Linked DNA regions of Lonchura striata. The protein of the gene in region 2 purifies or fractionates together with the protein of the main gene of each other region. This does not show direct contact. Links are inferred from orthologs where the notes say so. Each region holds a gene or a part of one and is shown on either strand. Other genes may lie near its edges.

Region 1 (10,692 bases), on a different chromosome or scaffold from region 2:
GAAAGCTAGAAGAAGAACAAACAATGTGAAAAACACATCACTGATTATGGGGGACAAACACTGAAAAAAGAACAGGGGATGTGAGAAGGAAATATTTGCAAATGGCTTGAGAGGGCAGGTGTGGTTTGAGGGAGGAAGGTGTGGTACCAAGACTCTGGATTCCTTCTGAAGGATGGAAATGGAAAAACAAAACAAAAGGACGAGATCCTAACATGAATCCTCGCTTCCTTTCCTTGTGGCCTCAGCAAATCTCACTCTGCTGCCACCTGCCAGGGGCCTTGAGATGTTCCACCAGAGACAGCCATCACATTATCAGGGCCCCTGAAGCCTGAAAGACACATCAAACAGCCAGTGCTGGCGTATCAGCATCCCGTGGGCCATGGGACTCCTCATCCCGTGTGTCACATCCTCTGCGTATTCCAAAGAGCACACGGCGCCCAGGCACTGATGTTTGGAGAAAGGAGCTCTGGCTGTGGAGCTGCTCTGGGGGCTGTGCTGGCCCAGCCCCAGGGAAGTGCCTGTGCTGAGATTCCGCTGGATCTGCTCACACACGAGCAGGAAGCAGGGAACTGTGTCTCCTTTTCCCATCTCGACACTCCCTGACCCAGCAAATGCATTCCTAGTACTGTTCGTCCCTTTCCTGATCTGTCTCTAGTCTTGTTTTGTTGCTGACTCGTCTGGGGATTTTTCTAACCTGACTTTGCTTTTGGGAGAGGGTTTGTTGGGTGGTCTCATTACAGGGGAACCAATTCCCTCATGTAATTTTGTTTGCCACCACCCGTGGTCTCAGGGTGGGCAGAGCCAAAGCCCAGCTCTCTGTGTGCACAAAACCCAGGCTGGAAGCACAGGCCTGTGATCATTCCTGCTCTGTAAGGTCCTGAGCTGAACGGGCTGCATTTCATCCACCTCCAGGGCACAGCAACGGGATGTTCTCCCCAGAAAAGGTGCTGATGTAAACACCAGCTGAGGGCTCAGAGCTCAGAGGTTGCATGGATGGCACTTTTGCCATCAAGAATTTATTTTTCCCTGTTGGAACAGGGAAAGAAATTCTTTATACTGAGAGGCAGAGATGTTGAAATGAGCATCATCACCCACGAGAGAGCAACTTTTATGAGCTATGAAAACAGCACTGAAGGGCAGATATTTGGAGAAAGACAGCTCCTCAGGGCTCTGGTCCTGAAGGGCATCCATCTGCAGAGAAGCCCTTAAAACCAGGTTGAGTTTTCCTCTTTTATCCTTGGACATTACTCCAGGCTTTCACACTGCCTTCACCAGGCACAGAATGGTTTAGCTGCACCTGTCTAATGGGGTTGCTTCCAGTGGGTTTTACAGGCAGCTCCATAGGTGCCAGCACAGACAATTCCAGGGGAATGCCCCTATCAATGGTTTTTAAATTTGTGCCAAGGAGTCATTTCCCGAGGAGAACAGGAGTAGAAAATAACAGAATGCAATTATGGTGGGAAGAGGAGCTTTGGGACTAGGCGTTACAACCTGCAGTTATCCCAAAGGAGACACAAATTACTTAAATAATGGGGTTTTCTACATCTTAAGTTTTTGATAGAATTCATCCTTAGTTCTGTGTATGTCCAGTCAGTGCAATGGTGTTGCTGCCCAGAGGAGAGGCTCAGAGACACTGTGACACTTTAGTAATAAACAGTTTTCCCATTTACCAGTTTCTGAGAAAGCTCTAGTGCTTCAGAGCTTGTTCTCCAACAGAACAGCCAAATATGGAAAATCCTGACTGTGAGCTACATCCCAACAGTTCCCTGAGAGCTTTAGGTTCAGGGACAAAATAGAACATATCTCGTACTGTTCCTCTCTGCGTTGGGCTATTCAGGACTTAGACAAGGCTTTTTCAATTTTCTACATAGAGATGTGTAATGACTAAATTTACAAGTCACAATACCTAGATATTGTAGGAAAAAAAAAATAATATAGCAACTTTTAAATTAGTTGCTGTAATTGCACACAGAAAACACCCCACAAATTTGTGAAATCATTCAAGCCTTTTCCACTTTAACAGGTCACTCACTGCCTGTTGCACTCGTGCATCAAGCTTGTATTAAATGCAAAACACCCGAGACTTGAGAGATTCTCCCAGTTCTGTATCTCAAATCAGCAGTTGCTTTGTTACAGATTCACTCAGGGCAACACCCTGGAAAGGGAAGGCAGTGGTGGTGCCCTGGGCTGTCACAGGCAGGGATTTTCCAGCATGGAAGCATGAGAACGCAAGATGCTTTTAAAATAGCTGGCAAAAATCCTGGAGTAGGACTAAATTTTGATTATGTAGTATGCAACATAAAAATGTTATCTGCATTTGAATAGAAATGCTTATATAAAATTGAAATATTTAATGTAATACAATATAATAATTAGATATGCAGAAGTTTGTCTCAAGTATACAAATCATAGTGTACGCTACAAATACTTTGAATGTAAAGCCCAGCAGACAGTAAGAGTGCATTTATCCGCATATTAAGAGGATTTTTATCAAGAGATTGGGAGAATTTTCCTAATTCAGAACATTAAAGGGAAGTCAGGACACAGGACCTGGTGACTCCAGGCAGATATTTGGGATTCTCCTGTGCAGCTCTGCCTGGAAGGGACGCCGTATACAAAGCCCTTGGGGCAACCTGGGCTTTCAGGAAGCTGTGACAGGGCTCTGTGGGATGGATCCTGGGGCTCTCTTGGGCTTTCCTTCTAGGCTGATTCTGTCTCTGAAGGAGAACCAGTGCCTCAGAATGCTGGAAGAACAGAACCTGGCACTGAAAAATCGTGTGTCTCAGTTATTTTCTGCTCTTAAGCAGGCTGGGCAGCTCTGTTCTGAGCATAGAAGGCAAATGCAGGAGCTCAATACCCAGGTAAGCTGTGCAGTGGCATCCTCTTCTCCAGGGACACACAACAGCACCTTTGGCTTGGAGGCCCCAAGCTCTTTCCCCTCCCGGCAGCATCCACAGCTGCCGTGTTCTGCCCGGGGCTGCTGCTGCACCCTGAGGCCCAGGCTGGATCTGCTGTCTGCTGCCGAAGTTTTGCACCGTTCTCTCCCGGCTCCCAGCAGGAAATCTGGGAGGGGAAGCAGCAGCAGCCTCCTCTGGAGCTCCTCTGTCCCTCCATGAGCAGTGTTGTCCCAGACAGAGTTGGTGCCTGTGCTGGCACTGAGCAATGTGGGGACACAGAGGTGGCTGTGGCAGGCTGGGCAGGGCACTTCCAGCGCAGCCATCTCAGCCAGCTGCTGTTCAGAGCTGCAGCCTCAAGGATGCCCACTGCCTCCCTTTCCCTCTTTTCTCTACATTTGTCTCCATTGGAATCCTTGCTTCCGTTCATTCTGGTTTTGGCATGGCTTTTGCCTGAAATAATTTCTCTTTCATTCCTCTCCCTGCGAGGAGCAGCCCTGTCCCTGAGGCTCTGTGCATCCATCTTCCAGATGCAGGCCATGCTGCTGGCAGAGATAGAGAAGACAACTCAGCAGGCAACTGAAGAGAAGGAGCTGCTGGAATCTGAGGTGTCCGAGCTGTGTGTGAGGCTCCAGAGCTCTGAGGAAAGAGCAGAGGCCATGGCCACACAGTGTAAGGCCATGGAGCTGGGGCTGAGGAAGACACAGGCTCAGAGGGACAATCTCAGAGCCCAAAATCAGGAGCTCATGAAACAGCTGGAGGAACTTGAGCAAGGTACAGCTTCTCCTCCCCCAGCCACTGCCCCATCCTGTCCCACCTGCAGGGATTTCGCTGATGCCTCGCAGAGGAAAAGTGCTCAGAGATGGCAGAGGGGAAAAACAACCAGCAGGAAATTTATCCATCCAAGTGCCAGTGAAAGCTTTTTCTTGAGAAAGATGCTGTGGCTTTCAGAGCCATCTGGCTGTGCTAGGGCTGCTCCTGGGCTGGAGTCTTTCATGGGCCGTGTCTCTGTTAAGGAGCTGTAGCTGGGTGCCTCAGCTCGATTCCCCCAAACTCCAGGCCCTGCCAGAGCCTCCAGGGCCATTGGCCTCTGAGCAGGGCTGCACAGGCATCCCCTCTCCTTTGTCCCTCCTGGATTGCTCACTCTGCACAAGGCCAAGAGCAAACACACATTCCTAGCCCTCTGAACCTTGCTCCTTTCATTCCTGCTTTTCTCTCTGCCTGGAAGTTTCCTTCATTTCTGTCAGCTTTGGAGCCCTTGTATGCTTAGGGCCTGGCAAACACCGGCAGGCAGAGAAGACAGTGCTGTTGTCTCTGCAGGATGCACATCAGTGTGACTTTGCTTTGCTTGTCCTCTTCCCCTTCTCCTTCCCCTTCCCTGCTGCAGATTGGTGGAACGCAGCAGTCCAGCAGATTTCTCGAGAAGCTGCCCTGGAGAAAGAGGCCACTGAAAGACAGGAAGAGGCTGTGACTCTTCGTCAGGAGGTGGCATCTCTGAAGAGGAAATTGGAGAACCTGGAGAAGGAAAGGAAGGATGTGCTGGTGAGATTGGCAGATGTCACAGAGGGCCAATTCCTAGCTTGCTTTGAAACTTGTTTTAATAGTTCTAAGAAGCAGATTTTTCCAGTTGAACTTTTCCAATTGAATTCTTTTGAATAAGGAGGAGATGTTGTAGTCATGCCAAAGCCAGTTAATGCTGAGGCTGCTGATTTTCCTCCATGCTGGGCTTCTGTTTCCTAGAAGCTTTAGTTTTCAATATGCACAATCTCTCTATGGACATTGCATGGTTTGGGGAATTCCTTGTGTTCAAACCCATGTCCAGATTCCTAAATATCTGCAGGGGAAGGAGGGGTGAGCTGACCAAGTTTGCTGTTAATAGAAAGGTGTTTGGCCTTGGCCATCTGAGAGCAGCCAGTGGGGAGAGAAGAGAGGAAAGCCAAGTGCTGATCCACACCAGGACGTGTGCCTGCAAGGGAGAACTCGTCCTGAGTGGCAGCAGAGAATGACAGACTGATCTGGCCATTGCTGCTCCAAGAGAGGGCAGTGGGGCTCTCGGGGATGGAGCCATGGAAACTCTATATGGGAGAGGTGGAACACCACTCCTGTCAGCCCAGCCCCAGGGAAGGAAATGCTGGGGGTGTTTGCTCTTGCCTTCCTCCCTGATGGAGAGCACGTCCTTGTGGCACTGCCTAAATCCTGCTTAGCATGGACTTGAAATCCTGGCTGCAGTTCTGGCAGCTCCTGCCCAAAGGAGCACTGGAACTGAGCTGCAAGAGGTCGGGGAAGGGCAGAAAGGAAGCTGGGACAGGCTGAGCGAGCTGGGCAAGAGCAGCATCAAGGGGGGAACCAGCAAAGGTCTGCAGCATGCCGAGGGGCAGAGAGAGAAGGGCAGCCTGTGCCTGCCCCTGCAGCAGGAGTGTGGCCGCGGGGCTCTGGGGCACTGACGCCTGAGGCGCCGCGAGCTGGCAGCGCATGCGCAGAACCGCGCGCAGGTCCTGCGCACCCGCTGCACCCGCCCGCGCTCCCGCGCGCGCGCGCGCGCACACACAGCGCTCAACCAGCGCCCCCCGAGCACGCGCGGCGGCGCGGTGACGTCGTGCGTGCCCCGCCTCCTGCTATAAAAGCGGCGGCGGCTGGCGGGCGCCATTGTGGTGCGCCAGGCCCGGCCGTGCGGAGCGGGCCCGCAGCGCCTCCACCCCTCACGCCGGCAGCGCTCTCGCTCCTTCTCTCTCTTTCTCTCTTTGTCTCTTTTCTTTTCCCTTCCTCTTCCTCCTCCTCTCCTTTCCTCTCCCTCCCCTCCTCTCCCCCACCGCCGCGGACATGCCGCGCGTCTACATCGGCCGCCTGAGCTACCACGTCCGGGAGAAGGACATCCAGCGCTTCTTCAGCGGCTACGGCCGCCTGCTCGAGGTCGATCTCAAAAACGGGTGAGCGCCGTTGGTCCGTCCGCCCCTGCCGAGGCCCCGGGCCGGCCGGGCCCGTCCATGTCGCGGCCGCTGCCGCGTGGCGCCGGCGCAAGATGGCGGCGGGGGGGAGCGGAGCGGAGCGGCCGCGGCTCGCAGCGGGCACCGGGGCGCGGTGCGCCCGCCGCCTGACCCGGCCTTTCTCCTCTGCCCAGCTACGGCTTCGTGGAGTTCGAGGACTCCCGCGACGCCGACGATGCCGTGTACGAGCTGAACGGGAAGGACCTGTGCGGGGAGCGGGTTATCGTGGAGCACGCCCGCGGCCCCCGCCGCGACAGGGACGGCTACAGTTACAGCAGCCGCAGTGAGTCCGGGCCCGGCCCTCCCCGAGGGGCTCGGGGCGGCGGCGGGCAGGGCCGGGGGCGGGCAGGGCTCGGCTGGCACCGCGCCCCGGGGCTGGGTGGGGGAGGTCGTTAGCGGGGGGTACCCGGTGCACCGCTGGGGCTGCAGCGTTTTCCTCGGCACCAGCGGTGCCCTCGGGTATCCCGGAGCAGTTGTGGCTGCCAAATCGCGGCCTTCTAGAAAGGGTTTGCTCTGCTAATTAACGGCTCCAGTATTCCTGGGAGCATTTAGATGTGACAGCGATGTTGCATCAGTAATGTTACTGTATAAATTATCGTTGTGTAGCGGGGGCCCAGCTGTGAGCTTTGACGTGATTCATTCAGTTGGATATATGGGAGGGGCGGGGGGAGGTTTTGGAGCAGGAATCTGTTGCTCTGAAGGGGGGGCGGGTATTGTAAATATTTCTGTGCTCAGCTCGCTTGTGTAGCTTCTTGAGCCGAGCTGTGTAGAGCTTGAATGGCCTAGTACTGTAACTAAAAGTACTAAGGTTGATTTTTCGTTGGTGTTTGGAATCGTGGTGTTGGGGGGGGTGGGTTTTTGTCTTTTTAAAAAAATCAAATGTATGTTGTTTTAAAATTGTTGCATGTTCAATTCAAACTTTTTAACAAGTCCTTGATGTTTCAATTTAAAAGTGACCAGTGGGGCTGAGGCTGTGTCCACTGAGGCTAAGATGACTGCCTTTCCTGGCCATGGCTTTTCCATACATTGTGTGACCCTTGCCCTATGACCCTTTGGCTGACCTTACCGGAAGCCATGACGACAGCAGCCTTTTGCCATTAGACGCAGGGTGATGGTGAGGATTCCAAGGGTTAGACAAAACTGGTTAAACTGAACTAGGTGACTGTTACCTTGCGTGTTTTGTGGCCAATCCACCACCAAAAACCTCATACTGTGATGTAAGTACTTAGTGTAACTAGTAAACGTTTTTGTAAAATGTAGAAATGCATGTAATCAGTTAAGTTTTATATTTTACAATGTTCTGTAAAATAAAACTTAGCAAGGTGAATCTAATAAGGAGCAGTCACTCTCTAACAGATCTTAGGAGCACAGACTTGTAGGATGTTAGTCTGTTTGATTTGCCATTAATATAGATCATGGCAAAATTGCAAAGTTTATTGGAGGCTTAGCGAAATAAAGTCCTACTCCAGTAAATATGACTGTTAAACTAACTTTTTCAGAACATTGAGCTTCCTTCGTGCTAGGAGACAACCTAACTTTGTTTCTTTGTACAATCAAGGTGGGGGTGGTGGCGGATATAGCAGTCGGAGACAGTCGGGACGAGATAAATACGGACCGCCCGTTCGTACAGAGTTCAGGCTGATTGTTGAGAACCTTTCCAGTCGCTGTAGTTGGCAGGATTTAAAAGTAGGTATTGATGTTCCGTGTGAAGTCTGTTGTGCATATCAGGAAGCAATGACTTCCTTTATTAGCAATGTTGATTTTGTTGCAGTAGAATAATTTGAAAGTGTTTGTGCACATTGCGTGCTGCGGGCACAGCTCCCCGTTCTGTAGCTGCCCTGTGCTCCCTGCAGGATTTCATGAGGCAGGCTGGGGAGGTGACCTATGCAGATGCCCACAAAGAACGTACAAATGAAGGAGTGATCGAGTTCCGGTCATACTCTGACATGAAGCGCGCCCTGGACAAGCTGGATGGCACAGAGATAAATGGCAGGAAGATCAGGCTGGTGGAGGACAAGCCACGCTCCAGCCACAGGAGATCCTACTCTGGCAGCAGGTCCAGGTAACTCGGGGGACACGCTGGTCACTGCAGCAAAAGTGGTTACAATCAGCCTGGGGATGGGTGCCCTACCTGCAGCAGTTACCTTGAGCTCATGGCTTAGGAGTAGGAGGAGGCCTCAGTGTAGAAGGAAATATTTTGCATCATATGGCAGAGCCAGGTTTGAGCAGTTTTTCCACATGTGAAACTTCAGATGTGATTCACTAACAGTATGTTGAATCTACCCTGGTAGGACCACCCTTGCTCTTGAGAAGTTCTGTAGCAGCTTTTCTCTGTTAGATTATGCTGCTAGATAGCACAGTGTATTAAGTGCAATCAGGAAGATTTTCCAGAGAAACTGTGGCTGTCCCTTGATCCCTGGAAGTGACCAAGGCCAGGTTGGACAGGGCTTGGAGCAACCTGGTGTAGGAAATAGATTTGTAGAGAATTTTTAAAGTTTAATAGAAGGTTTATATAATATGTATGTAATCACCTGGGGTAGTGGAAGGTGTCCCTGCCCACGGCAGGGGGTGGAACAAGGTGATGTTTAAGATCCGTTCCATCATACACTTAAAGATGTTGGGCACAACCAGGCCAAGAGAAAGGGAATGACATTTTAAATGTCTGCAGGTCACGATCCAGGAGACGGTCTAGAAGCAGAAGTCGGAGGAGTCGGAGCAGCCGCAGCAGATCCCGTAGTGTCTCCAAAAGCCGTTCCCGGTAAGTGCCTCAGTGTTAGCGCTGCCAGTGCAGGAGCTCCCTCACTGACAGGTGTTTACAGCTGCTGGGAGTGCAGTGCAGGCCATGCAGAATAAACTCTCTCTCTCTTTGAAAGATCTAAATCCAGGTCACGAAGCAAAGACCGCTCCCGTTCCCGATCAAAAAGCAGGAAGTCCAGATCAAAGAGCAAATCCAAACCCAAGTCTGACAGGGGTTCACGCTCGCACAGCAGATCCAAGGAGAAGTCTGAGAAGTCCCGGTCCAGATCCAGGTCCAGGTCTCGATCTCCCAAAGAAAATGGTAAAGGGGATGCTAAGTCTAAGTCCAGGTCCAGGAGCAGGTCTCGCTCCAACTCGCCACAGCAGCAGCCGTCTGCCAAGGCTCGCTCCGAGTCGCCGCCCAAAAGAGCCACGTCCAGATCGCGCTCCAGGTCTCGCTCAAAGTCCCGCTCACGATCAAGATCCAGTTCAAGAGATTAGGACTACAACTCTCCTCTCACCTTGCACACTTACGGAACATTTTCCTACCTGTCAGGCCATTAGTGTTATGTTAGTACTTCAGAAGTTGGGTATTTCGCTTGCAGGAGTGAATGGCCTAAGAACTAAGGCATAAAGGTTTAATTTGTATCCAAGATTTGACAATACCAGGTGGAATGGTGGTACAAAGCAAGAAGAGTCCCCATTTTGTAGAAATTGAGCTGAAAGTTTGATTTTATAGCATTTCTGCAGGAGTAACTTAACTACTCTTCAATGCAAAGTGGTTTTTATATTAAAAATAAACTGAATATAAACAGGCTTAAATATGGGCTTTTTGAAAGTATCCTTTTTTCCTATTTTTTTTCATGGCATTAGAACTATGGGTGTCATTAGTTTCATAGGTTTCAGCTTGCTGCCAAAGGCAGGATTGCCTTGCTGGACAGGTTGCACAGTCTATCTTAATTTTGGAAGCAGTCAGCAAACTGTATAAAACAGTAACAGTACTAGGAAGATTTTAGACCAGCAATAAATTCAAGTTGGAGGACTTAGGTTGACTTAGGTTGTACCTTGACTTGCCAAAAGAACATTCCCGTCATACTGAGACTGTATTAAAGGTAACAAAGGTACTCTGGAACCTGTATCCTACAGTATTGCTGAAAACCCCTTTGTTCCAGACTTGAAAAGAATAAAAACTTTTCTTGCTTGAATCTCAAGTGTCACTGTTGTCAGGCACGAAGGTGTCTCTTGGCTGTGGTCCAAGTTGTTAGTATGCTGTTTGGTTTGTCAGCCTCTGAATCCCCATTGGACATGAAACCCAGGTAAAGAAATCTGTCTTCCCTCACCTTTGACTCACTTATGTTAACGTTTTGCTTCAGACTAGGAGAACTATAATCCTCTTGTGTGTAGGTCCGAACTTTATTGGAAATGTATTCTCTTGGAGCTAGAATTCTAGTTTTAACAAAGGCTTTGCTAAACCACAGTTGCCAGTTCACTTAAATTGTGGAATAAGATTCATCCCAAAAAATCCCCTTTATAGTTAAATTGATTTTTGTAACATGCAGTAGCAAATACTAGAACTGCCTTGTACTCTTTATACAATGTGTAGTTTGACTTGTATAAAATTAAATTGGTGACTCAGACTCTTGTGTTCATTGCAGTTAAATGGGGTTCTTGTTCTGCCTTGTGCTGGGGAAATCACAACATACCCTTCTTTTATGGAAAAAAACTACTTTGGTTTAGTGAAAGACCTGGTAGCTCTTGACAGGCTCTTGGTGGTGTGCTTGAAACAGCACGAGCTCTTTGTGTCCCCATGTGTCATCTTGTTCTTTCTGCAGGTGTGGCTGGGCGTGACATCTGCAACTCTGGTCCCAGGTTACACATTTGCCCAGAGGAATTGGGTCAGCACAGGGCACATGTGAAATGTGACTTGTCTTTCCTGGAATTTCTTTATCCTGTAAACAATTCTTCTGAAATTCAGTTTCTCACCTGATGGCCTCTGAAAAGCTGCATTTTGCCTGTTGCAGGTGAGTGTCCATGCTGGTGGCAGAGGGAGTCCTAGGGAGAGTGGTCAGGTCTGAGCT
Region 2 (11,754 bases):
GGGCACTGGTCTCATACAGGTCTCTGTGGAGGGGTGTGAGCTATGTGTGAGATAAACCTTGTTCATGCAGACAAGTGGTCTGAAAATTCAGGTTACTGAGAGCTGGTACTCCAAAACCAGTATCTTTGGAAGGCAGGGAGACAAACTAGTAGAAGTTGACAAAAATATGCAGTAGGGACAAAGTTGGTAGTAGAAGAAGTGCTACTGAAATAACAAAGGAAAAGGAAATTTGGAACTTTCACACTAAAATCTGCACAAATGTTGTAGCTGCAGCTAAGGGCAACCTGCTGTTACTGTTGTAGATACATAAAATAAACATTTTATGAGGTATTTGTTTTAGCTCTCCTTTTGAAAGGTAAACAGCTACACCTGCCCCACAGAAGGTGACTCCTAAGATGATCTGTTCATGTTCAGAACACCGAGTTACAGTCCCCTCTTCTCCTGCACGTGCCACAGATGGGCTGCAGGGGAAGGGAAAAAAAGATAATTTTCTGCATTCTAAATTAGTATGTCCCTAGAGTGTATTTTGGAGGGCCCCCCTCAAGCAAATACAAACCCAGTTACTGTACCTGAAGCAGAGGTTTATCTTGCATCCACATACAATAGAAAAGGCCCTTCCATATTTTCAGCAGTTCTTCCTGACTGAAGCCACCTATGGTACAGAACAAGTCTGAATTAAATAAAAAAACCACTCATTTCCACCAAAATATTTTCATTCAGCTCCCCCTATTCCCTGCTTTCTTCTTTGTTTTAGTTATTTTCTCTGGGTTGCTACTGTAAGCACATTAATTGGAAGGCAATTTGGCATAGAACAGTGATAGAAACTGTTCTACCTTGTACTGAAGCAACAAAGATTTCAAAGCAATCACAGGGAAGATGAATACTGAGGTAATTCTGATAAATGCCTCTGGCATATTTTTCACACCAAGCCTGAAAGAAGTTTTTAATGAGAGTATCAGAAATAGTTTTACAAGAAACATGATATTTTTTATTTTGCTGTTTTTAACAAGTCTCACTCTACCAATAATTTTACTCCTTCCTAGAGGTTTGTTTTGATAGAATGAACTTCTAGGAATCAGCACATTTATTTCTACATTAAACTTTATAGTCAAAGAGCTTGAGCAACTATAACAAAAGGTTTTCTGATACAGTTAGTCTTGGGATGTAGTAAAACCTGAATTTTAACAGCAAAAAAATATTTTCACATTCCAGAAGTAAAGTACTACATGGAAATACTAATACCTGCTCAAGAACTAGATTTTTCATTACATCGGCTAAATTTATGTGAAGTAAAATTTTAACAGTACATTGTTACAAGGCAGCTACAATGACCTACTACAGTTATTTTCAAACTATGGCCTATTAAATATTCCCAAGCAATCCCATAAAAAAAACACTTTGAAAAGGTCATCATCTTCAGTAAGCTCAAATTTGCTCCAAAAAGATCATTGTCTCAAAAAAAGTCAAAAAGTCTGAAACCCAGTGCAAGATCTAAATTGTGCACCTTCCTTTGGACCAAAGGACAAAAACACCTGCACACAGATTAGTCCTGCTTGGTTGAAAAGAAAAGAAGTGAGAAAATAGGCAAAATGCTATGTAGGAAGCAATGTGTCCAGTAATATTAAGCATTAAATTTAGATTTGACAATACTGTTACGATAAAATATGAAACAAATTTATTAACGGAATTAATATTTATTGAAATATTAAAATTAATAACATTTCTTAACTGAATTATATGTGACATACTGAGTGGTAAGAAGCAGTTTCAACCTTACTGGCAGCATGAACCCTACAGAAGTATCAGACAGAGGCATCACCTGCTACCTATAGATGTGGCTCAGGAGTTCCCAGAATTGTATCACAGAATTATTCAGGTTGGAAAAGACCTCTCAGATAATCACTGCCAAGGCCACCACTAAACCCTATCCCCAAGTGCCACATCTACACATCTTTTAAATCCCTCCAGGGACATTAACTCCACCACTGCCCTGAACAGCCTGTTCCTGTGCTCTGAGGGAAGAAAACACACACTTTTATGAGGTTGCTTTTCATACACACAGGGCTTTTTAAAGCGTCCTAGGCAGTCCTGTGCCAATTTGACATAAGACTCTGACCAAAAATTACAGCAATTTTCTTATCCTAATGTCTCAAAAGAGTAGTTTCAATATAGTGTTTTCTGTTCAGCTTTATGTGCTGTTCCCCAGCCACAGCTGGCAAATAATAACCATTAAAGTTATTTTAAAACCCGAATGCATTGTATTAACAACCACAGTGCCCAGAACTGAAGGCCTTCTATACCTTGAACCTATCCTGAGAAAGATTGTGGCTTTAGGGCTTGAATTTCAACTGTCCCTCTGCACAGTAACTCTGTTCTGTGTACTGTGGGAGCTGGGATTAACACATTACAACCACTCAGAGCTACTTTACTGCAAGCCTTGTCAGCCTCTCTGTCTGGGAGTTTGGCTGCTTTGACACTGTTATAATTGAATTTGTTACCATTTTTCCTTTTCTAGATAATTGCAATGGACCAGATCCACACAGGGATATTTCAGTGGAAATTACAGAAATCCTTTACAGATCCAGGCACAAGTCAGCACAGCTCTGTCAGACAGGAAACCCACCCAGCAATCTGCCCTCTTTTACTGGAAGTTATTTCTGTTTACTGTTCTTTCTTCAATTAATTTGGTTAGTTCAATGCCTTCCACAGAGCTTAATTTCTTGAAAATTAAGAGCTCTGGCTCTGTGAAGAAGCTCCCTCAGCCTTAGCACAGACCAACAGAGCAGTCCTGTCCACCTAATAAACACCTGAGAGCCCTGAACATCAGGTGAATTCCATCACTTCTGCCAGAAGTCAGCACATTCTCAACTCCTCAGGTCAGGGCATCCTACCTGGGTTACCTGATGTGTGAATCCCTCTCAGAACACTGGAGATGGGTACAAGACTGCTAATTAATAAATTAACTGTAAAAAAACCCTCTCTCCTGAACATGCTTTTTCTCCAAGCCCGAAGTACTTAATCTTCGTTTCAATACCACCTAACAGCAAGTAAATCTAAGAGCTCTGGAAATTAGTCACCCTTGTTTCCTACTCATTTGCATCCCATGGTGTGCTGATTGTAACATGCAAAAGGTTCACAGCCCAACTGAGCAATTTCCCTGTGATGCTTTCATGATGCTCTAAAGCAGTGCCTGAACCTGTTCCCCCTTAGAAAGTCTCCAGAGCTAAAAAATAGAATGTTCTTGGGAGATACATGATGTACACTGTCCTAGTGCCCAGGAAATCCCTAAATCTATGTTAACTGCCAGGAATGGGATAATGCCTGTTTGGCTCCCTGGCCTGACCCTGTAAGACTGTTCTAGGTGTCCTACCCTCTGTCAGATGTGGCTAATGGGTCAAATACTACTTGGAAAGACAAGAAGCAATATTCTCTCTACAGTCTTTTCAAGGAAGTCATGGAGGTCCAGCCAGCACTCCAGATTAGCTCCTGAGGCCAGCTCTAGGCTGGTTCCCCAAAGCCATACATATATAATATATACTAATATATAAAATATACTTGTAAAATGCAATAATAAATAATTAGAATATATGGTAATAGAATACTGTAGAATGCAGCTTATAAAATATATGTTTTATAGAAAAGAAACATAAAATAGAGATTATACATTACATTATATGTAATATGAGGTATAGGAATAATACACATCCATGTGGAAACTGTGCACCCGAGGCATTTTCAGGTACACGGACCTTCAGACTGGCCTTGCCAGCCTCAAACAGACTCCAAGGACACCACTGAACTCTTAGTTCTAAGGTGCCAATATATAGCTCCAAGTAGAATTTTTGGAAAAACGAAGAAAAATGCTTTCGTTAGCATGAAGTGAAGGTAACAAGTAACCTAAATGTGTTACACAGAACCAGCTGCAATTACACAAGTGCTGAAGCATGTAGCTTTCCTCGATTCCCTCCGATGCTCCTGAATATCAGTCACGGAAACAGACAGACATCAGCTCACAGAAACAACAGAAGATGAAACTTTATGCAGCATATACCGGGATGTTTCCAGCCTGGATCACTTCAGTGCATTTACACCCCTGTTCCTTGGGAACGAGAGCACACGAGCCACCCTGCTCCCATCCCGGATTTGTTAATGTTGCCAGCAAAACCCTCCCTCGATCCAAGCTGATCCTTCCCGAGCTCCTCCAGTGCCCGGAGACACTTCCCGAGCGAGGATCCAGAGCGCCTCGGCTCCCGGGTGCTGCTGGGGCTGCGCTTGCGGCAGCACCGGGGCAACACGTGCGTATACAGGGCGAAAAAAAAAAAAAAAAAAAAAAAAGGCAAAAATGGGAAAAATTGGTAAAGTCAAAAAAAAACAACAACAAAGCCCTAAAAAACCCAACAAAGAGAAAAAAAAAAAAAAAAAAAAGCCCGAGGAGGCGTGCCGGGCTCAGGGCGCACACGTGCTGTTTCCTTCCCTCCCCGTGCCGTCCGTCCGCCGGGGCCGCCGCTCCCCCCGCCACGGCACCGGCACCGGGACCCGTCCCCGTCCCTCCCCCGGTCCCTGCCCGCCGCCCCGGCCCGGTCCGGTCCGTACCGCCGGGGCGCTGGCTCCGCACGCCGATGTAGCCCCGCAGCTTTTTGAGGGCGCGGTCTCGGATGCGCTTCTCGTTGGCGGCCAAGCGCTGCGCGAACTGCACCTCGGGCGGCTGCACGGCCGCGGGAGCCATGGCCCGGCCTGCCCGTGTCCCTGCGTGTCCCGGCCCGTGTCCGTGTCCCGGCCCGGCCCGCCCGCGCCGCGCTCCGCCCGATGCCGTCAGCGGCGCCGGGCTGTGCCGTCACCGCGGGGAAGGCGGAGCGCAGGGACGGCAGCGCCGCGGAGTTCGGGGCTGGCCGGCACCTGGCTCACCCACGGGAGGCACCCGCGGGATCCCCACCGCCCGCAGCGCCCGCAGATCATCACGGCTGGAAAAGAACTCTGAGGTCATCGAGTCCAGCCTGTGGCCGATCACCCACGGCAGTGGTGCCGCGTCCTTCCCGAACGGAGGGACCCAGAACGGGACACAGCACCTGAGATGTGCCCTACACAATCATTGCCCTGGTTCCGCTGGCCACACCATTGCTGACACAAGCCAGGTGCCATTGGCCTTATTGGCCACCTGGGCACACCTGGCTCATGTTCGGCCTCTGCTGACCAGCACCCCAGCTCCTTTTCCTCCGTGCAGCTTTCCAGACTCTCTTTCCCCAGCCTGGAGCTGCAGGGGCTTGTTGTGACCCAAGTGCAGGACCCGGCAGTTGGCCTTGCTGAACCTCCCACCACTCGGTCCTTCCATCCAGCCTGCCCAGATCCCCCTGCAGAGGCTCTCTGCCCTCCAGCAGATCAATCCTCCCTCCCAACTTGCTGTCGCTCCCTGCACCCTCCAGCGGCACCACGGCACGGCCGGGCTGCAGCTCCACAACCCGGTGTAGTCCCGGCATTGTCACGGTTGTTCTCCCGGTGTTATCCCACCTCTACCCCAGCGTTATCGCGGTGTTGTCCCAGTGTCATCCCGATGTTTTATCCCGGTGTTATCCCGCGGCCGCTCCGGGCGGGGCTGGGGGCGGAGCCTGAGTACCAGACCACGCCCCCACACGGGACTAGCCAATCGGAGCGGGCGCGGCCACAGGGGGCGTGGCCACAGGGGCGTGGCCGCCGCGCTCCGCTCCCTCACGCTGCCCCGCTGTCGCCGCTCGCTGTCGCCGCTGTCGCCGCTCGCTGTCGCCGCTGTCGCCGCTGTCGCGATGTGGCGCAGCGCCGGCCTCGCTGGCGACGCGCAGGTATCGCGAGCGGCCCGGGGCTGCCTCAGAGGCCGGGCCCGGCCGGAGGTCCCTGCGGGTGCCTCGAGCAGCAGAAGCAGCGGGGGCTGTGTGGTGGCCTTACGGGGCGCTGAGGAGGCGACGGCGGGGCCGCAGGGAGAGGGCAGCGTGGTGGGGCTGGGGAGCCACAGGCGCCCTGGGCTGGTGGGGAGTGAGTGGGGAAAGGCTGGCAGGGAGTCCGTGCTGGGGAGCTCTGCCCTGTTCGGCCCCTGGAGTGGCAGGGGAGGGAGATTCCCGTCCCTGGGCTCACACCGGGCAGGGCATGAGCTCAGGTGCATTGCTGGGTGACTTCACCCCTGTGAAAGAACTCGAATTTCCTACTTCCTGGCACCTGCCGTTACCTGGACAGAAAACTCCTGTTCTCCCCTGTATTTGCCTTTAACATACTCTTGTAGTGCAGAGAGATGTGGAGAAGCTGCTTAAACAGAGAAAATAAAACTTGCCTGCTGTAGCTGCAGCGCTGCAAAGACTTGTGCTTACAGTGGGAACTACAAAGGAGAATTTTCTCCTTACCGCATATTTTATATTTCAACACCAGTGATTCACAGGCTGTTTTACTTGAATTCAGCTGTTAGTGAACAGAGCTATTTTTATGTACGAAATTTTGCTCTGTAAGTCTGAGTAATACTGAATTCTCTCTGTCATTCGTGGTTGCTGACACGCAGATGGCATTCCTCTAAAGACTCCTCTTCCCATGTGTTTGCTCCATGCTTTTTTGAGACCTAGATGGGTGGAATTTTTCTAGAGTCATGTAATTATGTAGTGCTAGTTAGCCTATGAACCTTGCCATAAGCACTTCCTCGATGCAGCTTAAAGCTTGCAGTTCAAATTAAAGCAAAATTTTTCTTCCCTACCTTCATTACAGCTCTGAACCTGCAGTGGTGGCACTGATCTGTCCCAGAACTCTCTGGATTTGAAATACAGCTGAGAAAGAAATAGAGTAGGAAGCAAAACTGAAAGGAAATGTTCAATGTGAGGAAGTAGGAAAGCAGAAAGAACTGTAGGGAATGGTTGGAGAGGATGACTTCCATTTGTCTTGTGTGTCTACTCGTGAGAGGACTGCAGGGATGGCACATTTTGAACCTCTAGGAGATGAGATTTAGGTTTGTTAGCCTTTTCCCTCTGGAATGTGATACATAAAGCATCTCATTTTGTCAGCACTGTTCTCAGTGCAGTGCAAAGCGCTGCTAAGATTTAACCTTGCTTTCTGGAAGCATATTGAGTGATTGATGTTTTAGTCAAAATACATTAAAACTTTCTTTTTTGTTTGGTGTGTGTGTATCCGCCTTTTAAACATCTAGCAGAGTGCACATGTATACATCAGAAATTGGACTTTATGGGGTTTTTTGTACAGAAATTGCTCTGTAATTTTAAGATTTAACACATATTCTGCTGGAATGTTGAATGAAAATTATTCTATAGCTATAGTTTGGCAGAAGAGGAAGCTAGTAAACATTTCTGTCTTACCTTGGGATTAAATTTTTTATGTGAGATTGAGTTGCAGATGGTTGCAAATAATTTTTGCTCTTCACAAAAGATAAATTGGTTTGAAAACGGTACAGTTTCTTCCAAGAGAGTTGTTGTAATTTAGAACTGAGGATCTTGCAAATGTTTGAATTAATTAAAAAGCTGAGTAATTGTGTCCTTTACGACAGTCGTGAAACAACAGCTTGGTGCATGCTGCTCACATTTTAAAATGTGAGTGTTAATTTTTGCAGCATTCCCAAATGTATTTTACACATTTTGGGTGAAGAAACACATGAAGAGAGGTAATGCTATTTACTTAAGGCCACAGTGGCAAAAATGAAGATAACAGTCAAAGGGTCAACCTCAGAGACTTTGGGGTTGATTGCTGGATAATTCTCTATAAAAAGTTACAAATTGCTGAAATAATGTCATAGGACTGTATATACAGGACTGCAGCTGTGTCTTTGGTTGGTTGTTGGTTTGGTTTTTTTTTTTTTGCTTTGTTGTTTTATTTCAGAAGGCTGAGACCAAAGAGGAATTCGTAAAAGTCAGAAGGAGGGATTTGGAAAGGCTGACAACTGAAGTTATGCAACTGCGGGATTTCTTACCCAAAATAGTAAATGGAGATATCCTGGGGACATTCCAGAAGCTGGATGCTATTGAATCAAGTGAGTAGCACCATCTTACAAGCTCTTGCAGTTTCTGCCAGAACTGCTTAGAACAAACTGTTGTGCTCCAGAAATAGTTGTAGAGTTTATGGAGCTATTCCAGATTCAACTGTGTTGTTCAGTGACTGCTTCAGTAAATTAATGTGTTTGTAGTGAAGAAAATTACAGGCTGCCTTAGGAATAATCAGACATGTCAAATTAATCTTTAAAAATATTTTACTGTGGATAAAAACATATATGGTTCAGGCAGTAAGGGAAGCTGTATGAGGAACAAAAAGTGTTTTCCCCAAAAAACATTTTGTTTTTCTAATGGTGACTTTCACAAAAAAAAAAGACCCAACAACAAAATAATGGTAAATAGCAGTGGGTAAAAATCTGAAGAGTGAGTTAATACTGTATTTGGCCTGTCTAGTTTGTATGCTTTACTAATAAAAAAAGAAAAGATTCTGTAATAAAAGTCTTTTTATCGCTGTCCCCAAAGTCCATTTTTTTCAATGCTGGATTTCTCTGTGCGTTATTTTTTCAAAAAAAAACCCATTCCCAACATGCCATCAGGGCCAAATAGGAGTCAGCTCCATCCCTGGTCTGTAGTTTACCTGGAGCTGTACAATTTATCTGGAATTGGGTTTGCCTGAAAAGACATGGAACAAGCACTGAGACAGATTACTGAGGGTGTGTCTCTTCTAGAATACCAAGTAATAAATGGAAAATTAATTTCCAACAGGCAGCTAAGGAAAAGCAAGGTAGGGCCTCAAGGCCTGTGTCTGACAATGTAATATATTGAGACAAATCTTCCTACTGCCTCAGTGATTCACTTTTTGGGAAGATTCTTCCATGTTACAAGCAGTGGATAAAATCTGGAAGTGTTCTCTGTTGCAGGGCATCAGGGACTGTTTCCAGTTGTGTTAAGCGTTCAGAATCCTCAATTCGTTTTTTCCTCCTTGTCTTGAGATTCCTCTCACTGTTCCCTTCTTACATTCCTTGTGCCAGGCATCAAGGAGACCCTGTCAGGGCCATCCAGAGCAGGCTCATGGCATCAACATGGGATTTTAAGACTCCTTGAAATGTTCTGCTGGCTGTCCAGCATTCTCTGGGTCCTCCAGGGCAGAACCTGAAGCTGAGACAGCTTTTGAATTCTCTGGAGTCTTTCTCCACAGTGGAGATTTCTCTTGCAGGTGATGAGATAATTTGTATATTTATTCAGGCTCTAGCCATTATGTGCCCCCACAACTGGACAAGTCAAGTGGAGATTTTTGCTGCTCCAATCTCCTCCTACCTCTGCAGCATGAAATAAGGCAGACTGGAAGGAGGCTTTTGAGCATGCAAATCACTAAAGGTTGGACATCACAAGGACACAAGCAGCCTCACTCTCAGAATGGTGCTGTTTGCTATATACAGCCTCTTGGTGTGGCATGTGAAGCTCACAGGAGTCCTGGCAGCTTCCAGAGATATTTTTTCATATTGTTCTTACAGAAGCCTAATGTGTGATTTGTACATCTCCAGACTTCCATCAGCTGTTGCAGTTTCCTGGGTACTGTTGAAGTGTGCTTTAACAGCAGAGTCTGCTGCTCCTCAATAAGTGCAGATTGCAGTAGAGACTTTCAAAACCTCTGACCCATTCAGTTGTGAGAATGATGGAGTCTTGAACAGCTTTGAGAAACCTTGAGATCTTTGCATGTTTCCCTGGTGTGTGTAGATCAATAGGACCCCCATTTCCTGTGGATTCCCAGGGTTGATCTCTGAGATCTAAGCTGGCAATCCCCAGTGCAGCCAACACCTGCTTTTCAGGCTGCTGTCAGGGTCTTCATTAAGATTTTTGCCAGGGTCATTGTTAATTTCTAAAAGAGGGTTCTGTTTTGTTTTTATTACCCTTCTCAGGAAGAGTGCTTGGTTCCAGAGTCTTAGAAATACAGCTCCAGCAATTTTCCTGTATTATGGATATGTTTAGTGGAACTCACTCCACTTGGGGAGAGTTAAAAATATCATTTAACACTGATCTAGCATTTGGATAAGTAGAGTTGGAGTTCCATCACTTCTCGTCATTCATTCGTATTGTAGTCAGTTTTCCACCTCCCAGGGCTTTGAGATTAGACACGTAGTCCAGAAAAATCTCCTGGTATGACCTATAATTTTATGTGGATGAGACCAAGTCTACCTCACATCTGAAATGGGGACCTTGTGATTTTTTGCTGTGCCCAGTGTTCTGTTCTTCTTTTGAGTCTCTTTGGGAGCAAGTGCCACTTCTTCCCAGAGTCTGATTCACCACTGCAGTGGTGAAGTTACCATTTCAGTTGTGTGAAGTGTGAAGGTGCCATTTCAATTTTTTTGTTACTCACCCAAGTTGCTAGTGAAAGCTGCTTCTTTCTCTTCAGAGCAAAGGCACAGCTGGGAGAGCTGACTGGGCAGAGCAGGAGAGTTTCCACCAATGAGGAAGAACTGGAAATAAGTATTTTTTCAGCAGCTTCCACTATTGTCGTTTTTTGCCCCTTCTACATAAAATTTTGTGATATCTTAGAGGATGTTGACACATCTTTCTGTTATCTGAAGCCCTTTAAAAAGCCCAGGTTGCATTGTGTTAACACTCAGTAGTCAATATTTCTCCCCTTCTGGCTCAGGTTTTGTTCTGGGACCTTTGCAGTTTGCTGGTGAAGGATGTGGCATCTTCGTTTGTCTGCTGGCTGGATTCAGGTTGGATCCATCCTCTCAAAGGCTAGAAGTGATTTTTCTCTTTCTGAAGAGCTTGTTTCCTTGCAGGAACAGAGATTTTCATTGTTACCTGGCAAGGCTCTTGGCCTGCTGTAGGCAAGCAGAGCATGTTCTACCCCTGCTCAAGACATATTGCTGTCAACTTCTTAGGACTCAGACCCACATAGTCAGAAGTGCACGAGACTGAATTTTCTTGTCTTGACAGAAGGAAAATTTGTTGCCACTGAACAGAGTTATCCCCAAAAACCTCAATTAATCCATTCCTCCCTTCATTCTTTTCCTTTGGACTGCAGATTGAAAAGAAGTGAGTTGCTCAGAGAGCATGTCCTGGCACAGAGATGTTTGTCAGCTGTGAATCCTTGCCTTGCCTCTTTGCTTTTTGCTAAAAAATGTTGCTGGCTCGGAATCACACAAGGGCTGAATGAAAATATACCTCTTCAGATAAATCAGCCACAAACAGCTTTCTTCCTTTTATACATGCTACTCAAAGCAATATGTGTATACTTAAGATGATAAACTTGTCAATTAGGACCAAAACAGGAAGGTATTTATTTTCAAATAATGTAGAATTACTAAACAGAATGCCAGAAGCCAAGTCCTTTGTTTAATAAGAACATATTTGAATAATTTTTAATGATGTTGTCTTTTTATGATAGAATTTGATATGATTTTTGGTAATTACATCAAAAAATACTGTGACATATTGGGGGAAGTATTTCAAATATGTTAAGCTGTAGACCAAACTGTCATGTTCAAGGGTATGGTGTTTGAAGTGGGGTATAATTTTTTTTTTCAACTAACCAAGGTTATAGTAGATGCTGTTTGGATTTTACTTTTTGGAACGACTCAAACATGCTTCCTTTTTTCAGTATAAATACTAAGCATCCAAAACTGTTTTTTTAAAAGTAAAATACAATACACAGTTATTGTTAAAACTGTCCTTCAGAGAGAATTTTTTTAAACAGGCATCATGCTGGTGAAATGGATTACTTTTTACTTGATTTCTGTTCACTAAAATAAAGTGCCTAAATTAGAATGAATTTCTGATAACATCAGAAATT

What was found.
Region 1: the proteins of RRP1B (region 2) and SRSF6 purify together in Homo sapiens (affinity purification with mass spectrometry; 3 studies listed by BioGRID and IntAct, with this or other methods). This does not show direct contact. The link is inferred for Lonchura striata from reciprocal best matches to the Homo sapiens genes RRP1B and SRSF6.

Annotation. Positions count from the first base shown.
Region 1 is NC_134619.1:13,766,906-13,777,597, reverse strand, and holds SRSF6 (serine/arginine-rich splicing factor 6), read left to right. Parts: upstream 1-5,533; 5' UTR 5,534-5,714; coding exon 5,715-5,821; intron 5,822-6,012; coding exon 6,013-6,161; intron 6,162-7,436; coding exon 7,437-7,564; intron 7,565-7,731; coding exon 7,732-7,940; intron 7,941-8,546; coding exon 8,547-8,636; intron 8,637-8,751; coding exon 8,752-9,115; 3' UTR 9,116-9,240; downstream 9,241-10,692. UniProt on the Homo sapiens protein: Plays a role in constitutive splicing and modulates the selection of alternative splice sites. Plays a role in the alternative splicing of MAPT/Tau exon 10. Binds to alternative exons of TNC pre-mRNA and promotes the expression of alternatively spliced TNC.
Region 2 is NC_134604.1:111,745,203-111,756,956, forward strand, and holds the start of RRP1B (ribosomal RNA processing protein 1 homolog B), read right to left. Parts: upstream 4,807-11,754; 5' UTR 4,727-4,806; coding exon 4,594-4,726; intron 671-4,593; coding exon 570-670; intron 1-569. Other genes in the region: HSF2BP (heat shock factor 2-binding protein), read left to right, coding at 5,778-5,813, 7,837-7,987. UniProt on the Homo sapiens protein: Positively regulates DNA damage-induced apoptosis by acting as a transcriptional coactivator of proapoptotic target genes of the transcriptional activator E2F1.